Rattus norvegicus: one gene and its partner. The protein of the gene in region 1 interacts with the protein of each later gene in a biochemical or structural test. Links are inferred from orthologs where the notes say so. Each region holds a gene or a part of one and is shown on either strand. Other genes may lie near its edges.

Region 1 (5,502 bases):
CTGGCAGTAGTGTTCACTGTCGCTGCCATGGGATTGCTCTGGTCGCCAGGCTGGCTTCTTCTAAGGCACCCTGGAACTTCTAGGAGGTTCAGGAGGCCCAGAGGGAAAAGTCAGCTAACTAATTGATGTGTCTATTTGCTTGTTCTTTCTGTTCTGAGAAGCCGCTCAGCAAAGTGGAGAATGAGAGGGGGATTCGGTGAGAGTGGTGGTGGTAGTTTTTGTTCTGTGCTGGGAAAATGCTAACAGGAAGTTGCTGAGCTAGAGTGGCCAACTGCTTAATGAGGTCTGTGTACCTGGAGAGCCAGAATCTGAAGAACTAAGTAGATGTCTCTGGGAGAGTCTTAATAGTTTATGGAATAAAGAACTTGCAAAGTTAGGGAATCATCTTGGTCCATCTCCACCTTTATAGTGAAGCCCACACGTGCACAGACAGCCTTCAGTAGGGGATCATGACTGAGTCCTGTACGAAGGATACTGCATGTGTGATAGCCGAAGCCAGACTTAGGGGGGCCAGCGAGGCTGCTGCCTACCAGGCCAGAGCAGCAGTCCTGACAGAACAACCGGGAGAGAGGACTCAGCTCTGACACTCACTCATTCCCCACGGGGCCCACTCTTCAATTCCTGTTCTCCCTGCCCTGGTACTGTTGGCACAGCTCACAGCAATCTCCTTTCTCCTTAAGTTCCAACCATGCCCGTCCTGGTTCTTTTATCTGAAAGGAGGTTTGCCAACCTGTTCAAGGCACACTTCGTTTCTGGTTTGGTTGTTAGTAGCTGCCTACCTGGTCTGTAGGGTACATACAGTCTGCTGTCCGTGTTCTGCCAACCAGGAACACCTATGTCAGCAGGGCCATCCTGTGTGCGTTGCTGGCAGAGGGTCCTGCGTAAGTGAGAGGACAGGAAGGCACCCTGCTGGCCCAGATCATCAGGACACAGCACTAGCACACCTGGGAACTGGTCAGTGTGGTGTCCCCTGTCCTTCTCACTCCACTTCCTGTCCCACAGTGGCTGCATAACCACAACCAGGGATCCAGAGAAGGGAGGTGAGAATAACCAGGAGTGATGGAGACCTTGGGAGGCCGGTGAGCATGAGAAACAGGCTTCAGAGAGCAGCTCATTTAATGTGAGGAGCAAAGGCGTTTTGAACCTTTGACCCTGAGTAGAGGCTATGAGGTGGGTGTACAGCATTGGTTGGGGCCAGGTGGTCATTTGGATAGGCAGGAGTTCCAGGAGCTTGATGAACAAGACCTTATAAGAGAGGGGGAGTTTAACCTGGTGTCGTCCTCTGGTGTGGGCAAAGGTTGGGGGTGCAGGACCACGTCCGAAGCTGGGGAGGGAGTGGTCTTAACTTCCTACCACTCTCAAGATGAGATTTCCAGGGTTGGACCCCGCTTGACCCCACCTCTGCTCCTAACTGTCTCCTCCCTGTCCCATGGTTTCCTGGCCCCACAGTCTTCCAAGCTTGTTCCTTAAAATTTCTGAACTCCAAATCTTCCTCATTCTAGAGACAAAACAAGTTAGGTTCTTTGAAGTCAGATTAAGTTCTTCTTTTTGAGGTTTTGACATATACAGAGTTCCCCAAGCTCATAGCCTTCTACTCAGGTAATTTCCTTGGAATAAGAAGTTTCCATGTTAACACTTCTTTCAGTAAGTGAGGTGATTTAAGTCGCAGTTTCTTGGACTATCATGCGAATCCACATACCCAGTTTCCTAAGCACCAAGATAAGAGCTTACGTTTCTCAGTGACTGGCTTAGTCACCACCAAGTGCCACTAGTTGTCTACTGACTAATTTGTACTGGTGCCTGCTATAAACTACCTCTAAATTCATCAGAGCAAGAAAATGCTTGTGACAACTGGACTGCTGCCCCTTTAGAGATAATGTCTCCAGCACCAGGTTTCACTTACCCTAAGGAACTCACTCCAAAGGCTTCCCACCTCCTCGCAGTGTTTCTCCTCCAAAGTCTTTCTTTGCTCTTCCCTACGCTGTTCCAGGAAAGCTGTTTCCAGGATCGCATCTGAAATCACCTCCAGTGGGGCACACATCGTCAAGCGTCGTTAGTGGGTGTGGTAAGAAGACAGGCAGCATTGTTAGCATGCCCTGGACACTGGTCAGAAGTATGGAGCCTGGGTACATGCCTGAATCCAGCTCTCCATCTTAACCAACCTCGGGGATTCTCATGCATAGAATGTGAGGACGGGGGCTCTCCTTGCAAGAGCCGTAGACACAGCCTACCATGTCAGTTGCTTCTTGCTTCAATGAGAAAGGCAGAGACAGGCATCTCTGAAGGGATGCATGTTTTGATGGTTTCACTCTCCAGACTCTGATCCATGCTTGCTCTACCTCTCCCCATGTAACTTCCTTCCTCTCCTCTGCCGAAGCATTCATCCTATTCGGTTAGGGTCCTTCCGTGCTTGCTGAAAGGGAGCAGCCCTTGCCCCCACTCGGCCCTCCTCACTTTGCTGGGTCCTTCTTCCTTCTGTGCTTGCTGTAAGGGAGCAGCCCTTGCCCCCACTCGGCCCTCCTCACTTTGCTGGGCCTCCAGAGCCCTGATCCTTGGCAGAGCGCCTCAGCAGTGTCTGAACCATTTTGCCAGGCTGAGTTTTCCACTAGGGAGGTATTGTTGTTTTAGGGGATTTCTGTGATCTGGGCTCTCAGAATGTCTCTCAGTGGTTGACGCCTTAGAGGCTTCAGTGCCCTGTGAGGCGTTCCGAGGTTTGTGCCCTTTCCTTGTTACCTGGCTTTTGCGGAAGCTGGTACCACATTGTTGTTTTTCCCCCTTTTAATATTGAATTTTATTCAATTTGCAGGTTATTGAAGCAAACCTAAAAGGAGAACTAAACCTAAAGATAGAAACTGAGTCAGTATGTGTGACAACACACTTTAAGGATCTTGAAAACCCTCTACTACGTGAGTTTTCTTATGGGCTATATTTTGCTTCTAATAGCATTGTTTCGTTGTCCGTTGAGTCCTCCATGAACATGCTGCACTCTGGGAAGGGGCTAAGGTTATGCTCCCTCCCTGTGACGCAGTAGTGCAGTTAGCTAGGCAAGGTTACCAGGCAGAAGGCTGCTCCCTCCTCCGGGATTCAGGTCAAAAACACTGACTTCCAAGCTCTTCCTTTGTCACTGTGACAGGTATGATTGGTTATTCCAGATTTGCTTCTTCATAGGCACAAATATTACTGTTAGCCCCGCAAGAAACATTTATTTTGTAGTGAGGGACACATAGCTCCAGGAAAGCGAAGCCCCATAGCATGAAGCTTCTGACAAACGTGTGGATGACCTCGGTTTTCTTGGTGGTGTGTGTGTGTGTGTTCAGAATACTTACTGAGTCTATGGCCTCTGCATGCTAGAGAAGCGATCCACCGCCGAGCTACCTCCCCAGCCCTGACATGAGTTATTTTGGTGTCAAATTACAGTATTTTAACTAGTTCAGATGTCTGCTGAGTGAGTAACATTCACAAGTTGCAGTCTACGAGGCTGCTCAAAAGAGCTGTAGAGTCTATCAGTTAGTAAGTAAGCACCTTGCACATTTCTGAGTTCCTTGTTAGGGGGATGTTGGACTTAAAAAAAAACCATTCATGTCATTGCAGCTTCTGACAGTGTCTCTCAAAACAGACACCCAGAAGACATGGCCAAGGTGCACATCGACATAAGGAAACTCCTCCAGTTGCTTGCTGGACAGCAAGTGGCTCCCACCAAGGCGGTGTGCAGTGAGTTTGTTCGCCACTACTCAGCTCCTGTGTGATATGCACACAGTCCTACATGGGCAAGCATGCCTAGTTCTGGGCACTCGAGCTCCCTGGGACAGTCAGGCTTGAAAGTTTCCTCCAGCCGGAGGTGTCTGGAGATGCTGAAGAAGACTGATGCCGAGCGGTGTAGAGCCAGAAAGCTGGTAGCCATGCTAGACTGGCTGTGGCTGCAGCTGCAGCTGCTGATGTCAGCAGTGGGCTCTGTGTCTGCAGTCGTCAGGACAGGGCTGACTCACAACAGCCGAGTCTGTCAACTTTTACATAACCAGTCCTGTATACGCTTTTGCTTAGATCTGAGCCTCAGCTCAAGCTCGTTCCTTTCAGTGCCCGCCTGCCCTCACTCACCACAGTCTCCTCAGTTGTTGGTTCTTCATGATTTGGGCCTGGCCCTGACTCGGAGGTTACACCCTGCTCTGCTTCTCTTCACCTGCTGGCCCCACTGAGCTAGGCCGTTCACCAAGAGCTTCCCAAGGCTCTGTGTGTCCTTGGCTTTGTGTTTGTTTTTGTTTTTGTTTTTGTTTTAAGGAAAGGCATAGGAAATGGCCTGAATGTGACATCCTTCCCTCTATGGAAAGCTGCCAGGCTGACCTCTCATCCATTCGTCAGCAAGGCTGAGGAAGATGATCTGGGACTAGACCGTAAAATAATAAAACAAAGCTCTGGGTAGCTCTGCCAAGGACCAGCCTTTCTAAATGACACACACACACACACACACACACACACACACACACACACACACACACACACACAAACACACACGCAGAAGAAGGTGTGTTCTAGTTAGGGTCACCATTGCTGTCATGAAGCACCTTGACCAAAAGCAGCTTAGAGAGGAAAGGGTTTCACGATTCACTGCCACAGCAGCCAGGACAGGAACCCGGAAGCAGGAGCTAATGCGGAGGCTGCAGAGGAGTGGCTTGCTCCTCATAGCTTGCTTATAGATCCCAGGACCGTGAGCCCAGTGGTGGCACCACCCACCGTGGTCTGGGCCCTCGCCCATGATTACTACTTAATAGCCTAGAGCCCGGTCTTGAGCATTTTCTCAACTGAGGCTCTCCTCTCTCTGATGATTACCTTGTATCAAATTCACATGAAGCTAGCCAGCACAGAGTGAGAAACCACAGAAGAGCCTCCGAGAGCCTATGGGATCAGAACCCATGGAAGAGTTTGATGGTTTGCGGTAGAGCCTATCCCAGTGTGCACAGGGGCACAAACACTCAGACCTTGCCCATATAACTTGGTCACCTCACGGCGAGTACATGCTTTTACCAGGAAGGTTAATTTGGTTAAATCCGCCTGATTTTTCTCCCCCTAAAGTCTGGGCAACTTCATTCTTCACCTCCCACTCTGTCCCTGGTGGGTGGCCGTGACCTATGCTGTGACCCTTTGGAGCCCTCAGAGGGAAGAGACACCAAACATAAGAGGTGGCCGTGGCAGATAAGCCTTGTGATAGGTGGGGATGAAACTCTCTTTGACATCTGGGTCTTTTCCTCCTAGATATCGTCAATAACAGAACTATTCACTTTGATCTGCTCCTGGAAGACGTCTCCCTTCAGTATTTCATCCCAGCCTTGTCCTAGCACCATCTCAGCTGACCCAGGAGGACAGAGGACTTTGTCGTGATGAGAGAAGCACTGGACGATATGGTCAGTCAGCTGCCTGTCCTCACAGTACCACACATTTGAACTGGGCTTATTTCTCTCCCTATGCTGCTTTAAACACAAATGGAAGTCGTGAAGCACAGTCGGATAG
Region 2 (6,152 bases), on another chromosome or scaffold:
TACAAAAAGGCAAACAAACTAGAAAGATTTGGGAGGGAGGGGAGGCTGGCAAGATGGCTCAATGACCGAAACCATCAGCTGCTAAGCCTGGCCACCTGCATTCAGTCCCCAGGACCACGATGGTGGGAAGAGAGAATCAGCTCCTGACTGTTACCCTCCAACCTCCATACATGTGCTGTGGCATGTGGGCAACCCTCCTCCCCAACCCCCGCCCCAGTAAAAATGCAAAAACCTCTTTTTGAATGTTTGGCCAGAGGAATACACATCTACAAGAATGTGGAAATACCAGCCACTGTCCACTAGAATGCAGGTCACTCTCGATGACTGTAGGGACGAATGAAAGACTCTACCCAAGCCATAGTCCTAGTGCCCTTTTCTTTCCGTCTCAAATAATGCAGCTGACCTACACGTCTGATTCTCCTGCCTCCACCTGCCAGAATCACAGGTGTGGCTACAATGCCAGGTTTAGGTAGTGGTAGGAATTGAACCTGGAGCTTTGTGAATGCTTGGTAAGCACACTACAATTAAAAACTCCAATCCTCTTGAATTAAAAATAATTTTTTTCAATAGTTGTCAATAACCACTGAGCCATCTCTCCAGTCCCATTCTTTCTTTCAAAATCTGCAAAGCATTTGCACAGTGACATTTTGGTACTTGAGAGTAACTATATTTTAGTTTTATAAGTATAATACTTGATTTTTCTGCTTCTAAAGACTGTAATACAGATCTTCTCCATACCAAAATGTGCTATCATTAATATGCTTAAGGTGGCTTTAATTTTTGAGATAGCGTCTCATGTAGCCCAGGCTGGTTTTGAACCACTGAGCCTTTGGCCCCCAATTTTCTAGGTGCTGAGATTACAGGCATTCACCACTATGCCTGGCTATGCTAAAGTCACTTTGAAATGCTAAGGAAGGAAGTCTTTAGAAAAAGCATTTCATAGGTTTTTATAGATAGATAGAATAATTTATCATTAAATTAAATCCTGCCACTCCATTTTGCAATCCTGCGAGAAAGGGAGAAACAGCCGGCACTTTAGGAAACCTTCCAAAAAGTAATTACACTTTTTTGACATTTGCCAGCTGCTTAGCCTTCTTAGGTCCCTTCCTCCCTGTAGCTTTCTCTCCTTTATACTTCGTTCTCTCGACCTTCAAATCTCAGTTCTCGTTTTGCTTCACACTGCACCCACCCCAATCAAATGGTAGACACCCCCCACCATAGGGTACCTCTCTCTTTGACCAGCCTTTTCCTAACACTCCCAAAATCTTCTAGCGCAAGGCGACTTGCAGAGCCATCCCCAAAGACCCCATTCTCCACACAGAACCGGGAACCTTGCAACGCTCAGCTAGGATCCCACCCTGCAGCTGTGGAGGCGGAGGCAGGGTTGACTGCAAGTGCAGACTCAGAGGGCAGGCCTGTTCCCAGGGTCCCGGGGTGCTCGGAGAACGCGGCGGGAAAGCCGAGGCCGGCGGCTCAGACTTTCTTCCTGGCGGTCCTCAACACCCCCTCGCGCCCCACAGCCCCGGCAGTCCCGACTCCAAGCCCTCCCCGGACCGGGTCGCACCCCACTCACCTCACAGGCCACCGCTGCTCCACGCGGGGCCGAGCCAGGCCAGGGCGGGCGGGTCCCGGCGGGACGGCCGGGGTGGGAACCCGGGGCGGGGTGGGGGGTGAGCCCGGGCCGGGGGTGGGTCCCGCAGCGCCGCTTTCAGTTGTTCCGCTGTTTGAAATTGGCGCCGGCGGAGCGTTGCGGTCACGTGACGGAGCGTCGCCAATCGGCACCGGCTTGTCTCCGGGTTCCGGCCCCGAACGCTCGGCGTCCTGAGGAGCGGCGGCCGCGGCCGGGAGGGCGGGTAAGGGGGCCCCGGAGCTCGAGGGACGGCGGGAGGGACGCGGGGACGCGCGGACCGCGGCCAGCAGCCTGCTCCGCCCCGCCCCGGACCGCCCTGCCTCCGTGGTCGACTTCCTTCCGGGGCAGCGTACGCCACTCCCCCGGTTAGCTACCCACTGGGCTACCTCTGGATCCACCGCGCGGCTCAGCCCTCGTTGCTGCGTGGGGTCCAGCTTGGGTTTCTGTCCCCAGACTTGCGGTTAAGTGCCCTACGCCCCGCCCCTGTCTGTGGCCGCCTCCACCTCGGGCCCAGCCCCGAGGTGTCCGGACGATCTTTTTTCCATACTTTACGAAAGAGTGGAAGGTACAGTGGCAGACCGGGCCGTCCTTCCCCTGGGCTCACCGGTGGTCTGATGGAGAGGGAGCCCAGAATGAGATGAACAGATCGGTAGAATTCTAGCTACAGAGGAACAGGTTAGAGGCCGGTGGGTTTTGTCTGACCCCGGGTATCCCCATGTGTAGAATTCTCGATTCTCGTGTTTCCGCCTTCGGAGTAGCCCGGGTCACTGGCTCGCCCTCCCGCAGCCGCCAGTGATAAATTTGAGTATTTATTTTAACGAGAAAATCTTGACTTAGGGCAGGAAAGCCTTTCTTTTTCCTTTCTTTCTTCCTCTCTTTTTCCTTCCTTCCTTCCTTCCTTCCTTCCTTCCTTCCTTCCTTCCTTCCTTCCTTCCTTCCTTCCTTATGAGCTGAGAACAAGGTGTAAGATCTGTCACCCATTACACAGAAGGGAAGGAAACATTGAAGCAGCTAGATTAAGAAGGGAGATGTTTGGGGCTGGGGATTTAGCTCAGTGGTAGAGCGCTTGCCTAGGAAGCACAAGGCCCTGGGTTCGGTCCCCAGCTCCGAAAAAAAGACCAAAAAAAAAAAAAAAAAGAAGGGAGATGTTTTGACTGGAGGAGGCTAGGCTGGTGAACACAAAGGCTGAAGGTCACAGGGATTTGAACTAAGACTTAGGGGGCGTGGTATGCTATGAGATGGGGAGCAGATAAAGACTGTGTTTGAGAGGTGAACAGGTTAGAGGCTGGTGGGTTTTCACTGACACCAGAATGTGGTGGCTCACGCCTTTAATCCCAGCACCCAGGAGGCAGAAGCAGGCGGATCTCTGTGAATTCCAGGCCAGCCAGGTATTCATAGCCAGCCCCAGGCTAGCCAAGGCTACATAGTAAGACTCTATCTCAAAATTAAAAAAAAAAAAAAAAGGCCAAGATTGTGCAAAACCTGACTTAGATTTTGTTTGGGTAAGTATATAAGAGCTTATCTAGATTAGACAGAGATGGGTGGGATATGGCCCAATTTCATGGGCTGTGGGCCTGGACTGACTAAAGAGAGAAAGCTAGCCGAGCAGGAGAGTTCATCTTCTTCCTGCCTGTTAAAGGGATGTGCCCAGCTGCTATGATTCCAGCAACAAAGGACTACCCTGGAACTGTGAACCAAAATAAGCCCCTCTTTCCTTCACTTGCCTTCCAGGGAATTTTATGATGGCAACAGAAAAAGCACCTAAAACAGTGGGGCATGCCTTGGGAACCAGCACTTGGGAGGTGGAGACTACACAGTGTATTTGAAGCCAGGCGAGGCTATGCAAGACCATGTCTCACAATAAGACGACTGGTATACAGCCGAGTGGTACCGTTATCGCCTAACACGCTGAGGCCTGAGGTTCAATCTGAAAACTGAAAGGAATGCATTTTTTTCAAAATCATGCAAGGGGAAAGATAGGGGAAACTAATAGATCATATATGGTCAGGATTGAACCAGCTGGGTACTAAGTACATGGGGCTCATCCCGTAACTCAGTTGACCCCTCTTTATGTTCTAGAGAATCTGTGGGCTGTTTTTTTTGTTGTTTGGTTGTTTGTTTGTCTTTTAACAAAACCTAGATGTGAGCCTAAGCTTCTATCTGAAATTCTGTAATGATTGATTACTCAACCCCCACCCCACTCTCATGTGGCCTCACTTGGTTTTCAGACTCAATGTTGACACCATGTTTAATATTATTTTTTTTGTCATTTATCCTTTAAAACTTTTATTAAAAACAGGGTCTCACTTTGTATCCCCCACTAGCAAGGAGCTCACTAAATAGATCAGGTTGACCTCCAGCTCAGAGAAATCTGCTCCTGAATGCTGGGATTTGAGATGGATGTTACCACCTCACCTACACCTAGCCTCTTTTCCTTTTTTATTTTGTTAGCTAGATAGTCACATCCTCATAGATAGTGACATTGTGTGTGAGGACACATGCCTGTGAGGACACACATGCCACACATGTGGATGTCAAAGGACATCTTTTGGGAATTAGTTTCGGCCTTCCGAGTTCTTGTGAGTTCTGGAGAACACACTCAAGCCCTTGGTTTTTGAGGCAAGTTCTTTTACTGCTGAGCTATCTTTCACTCAGTCTGCAATGACCTTGTGATTCTCTGAATTCACAAAACAGCGTTTTGGCTGTTTAAGGTTTCACGTGACTCAGGGTGGTCTCTCACTAGCCAAAGGCAACCTTGAGCCTCCTGATCCTCCTGTCTCCCTTCCCTAGGGCTGGGATCCTAGGCACGCCCCACCGCATCTGGTTTGGTTTGGCTTTTGAGAGCTTTTTGTGTGCAGCCCAAGCTTGACTTGAACTCCAGATCTCTTGCCTCAGGTGTGCTAATTAGCATGTGCCCCCAAGCCCTCTGTAACGGTCTTTGCATGTGGTGCACCTCAGCCTCCAGTGACCTTCCTGGCTTTTGCTTCTCCTGGTTCCTTCCACAGGTTAAGTGTCTTCCTACCCAGAAAGCCTTCTCTGACGAGAACTGAAGCGGACTGTGCTATACTGAGATGTGATTGTTTCCTTCTGGTTAGCTCTCTTCCTCTTCCTTTCCTTCTTCCTTTCCACGGTTCCCTCATTTGCAGTTCTGGGGACTGAAACCTGCAGCTTTGTGCACATTAGGCAAGTGCTGTACCACAGTGCCTCAAAAGCAGGGACCTCTGTGTCACTACAGGTACTTAGTACTCAGTACTGTGAATAAGTACTTGCCCATCTTTAAAGTCTTTAAATCGTAGCACTCAGTGTGTCAGAATACCATGAGTTCAGCGGGTGCTCACTGAGTGAGTTTTGTTGAGTATGGATAAGATCGTATGTTTCTCGTGGTTTGGTATAGGAAGCTGGTTTACCTACAACCTGAGGTCTGATTGGTGGTTTCTGATAGATTGGTTACCCTGACGTCATGAAGAATTGGGGGAGGGGTGCCACCCACATGATCCCCCCCCTTTGTTTCCTCTCTCCAGGCATGGTTTGCAACTGGACTCTGACCCAGACCAGGAAGGCAGCCTGCATCATGTTGTTACTAACTGTTCTTCATTTACCCATTGATGCCTCCCCGAAAGAGACGCAGACAGTGCCAGAAAGCCCAGCTGCTATTCCACCAACAGCCACTGGAGGGCCCCAAACCCCATTATGAATCTCACCAGCAGCCCATTACCCACACTGTACAGGTGCCCAGCAAACCCATTGATCAGAGCACCATCACTTCCTGGGTGAGTCCTCGCAATTCTTTGACCTTTGCTGTGTTACGTTTTTCAGAATCCTGACTCTTAATCCTTTTGGAGCAGGGACAGGGAAGCAGTTGCTCTTTCTGGCTGCAGTTACCTGATTTGTCTGGTATATCCTCTTTTCATTCACACTAAAATATGTTTTATATGGAATTGGAGTCTTCCTGCCAGGTTCCTCTGAAAAGTTCTGATTGAACACTTCACTCCCCAGTCACTGGGTGAAGAAGCTAAAAAAAAAATGACCAACTTATAAAAGATTACTTCCTGTATTTCATATGAAAAGTACTAGGTACTCTACAGTTGACTGAACTTTAGTGGAGAAACCTCCTACAAAGGTGGCGTGCTAATTCACGCAAGTTCATCGTTGGGGAGGCTGAGGCAGAAGGATCTCAAGGCAAAGGCCAGCCCGGACTTTACAGTGAGACTGTCTGACAAAAGAAATTCATACGCACTGACTGAATGAACATGCAGATTAGATCCCACACCTCAGCAGTCTCACTTACACGGAGCTGCCGGTCGTATTTGCTGAAGACCTTCCTGCCAGGCCCTCGCCAGGTGTTGGAGACAGTCCCTTTGTCCCTACCCTCTTGAGGGCGTGGTTTTGCTGAGGACTGAACTGAGTGTGCAGAGCATGTGTTCTGCTCCCGAGGACAGAGTTAAACAAGCTTGAGCAGTGGAGTGTGGTGGCCATGAGAGATGCCTGTCTCCTCTCCTGCTCAGGAGCAACTGGAAGAGCA

Evidence for each region.
Region 2: the proteins of Hus1 (region 1) and Rhno1 form a complex in vitro, tested with the Homo sapiens proteins (2 studies listed by BioGRID). The link is inferred for Rattus norvegicus from reciprocal best matches to the Homo sapiens genes HUS1 and RHNO1.

Annotation. Positions count from the first base shown.
Region 1 is NC_086032.1:87,906,005-87,911,506, reverse strand, and holds part of Hus1 (checkpoint protein HUS1), read left to right. Parts: intron 1-1,002; coding exon of another isoform or gene 1,003-1,044; exon of another isoform or gene 1,045-2,806; coding exon 2,807-2,906; intron 2,907-3,591; coding exon 3,592-3,711; intron 3,712-5,247; coding exon 5,248-5,330; 3' UTR 5,331-5,502. UniProt on the Homo sapiens protein: Component of the 9-1-1 cell-cycle checkpoint response complex that plays a major role in DNA repair. The 9-1-1 complex is recruited to DNA lesion upon damage by the RAD17-replication factor C (RFC) clamp loader complex.
Region 2 is NC_086022.1:163,321,211-163,327,362, reverse strand, and holds the start of Rhno1 (RAD9, HUS1, RAD1-interacting nuclear orphan protein 1), read left to right. Parts: upstream 1-1,976; 5' UTR 1,977-2,305; intron 2,306-3,687; exon of another isoform or gene 3,688-4,720; intron 4,721-5,151; 5' UTR 5,152-5,235; coding exon 5,236-5,400; intron 5,401-6,152. UniProt on the Homo sapiens protein: Involved in microhomology-mediated end-joining (MMEJ) DNA repair by promoting recruitment of polymerase theta (POLQ) to DNA damage sites during mitosis.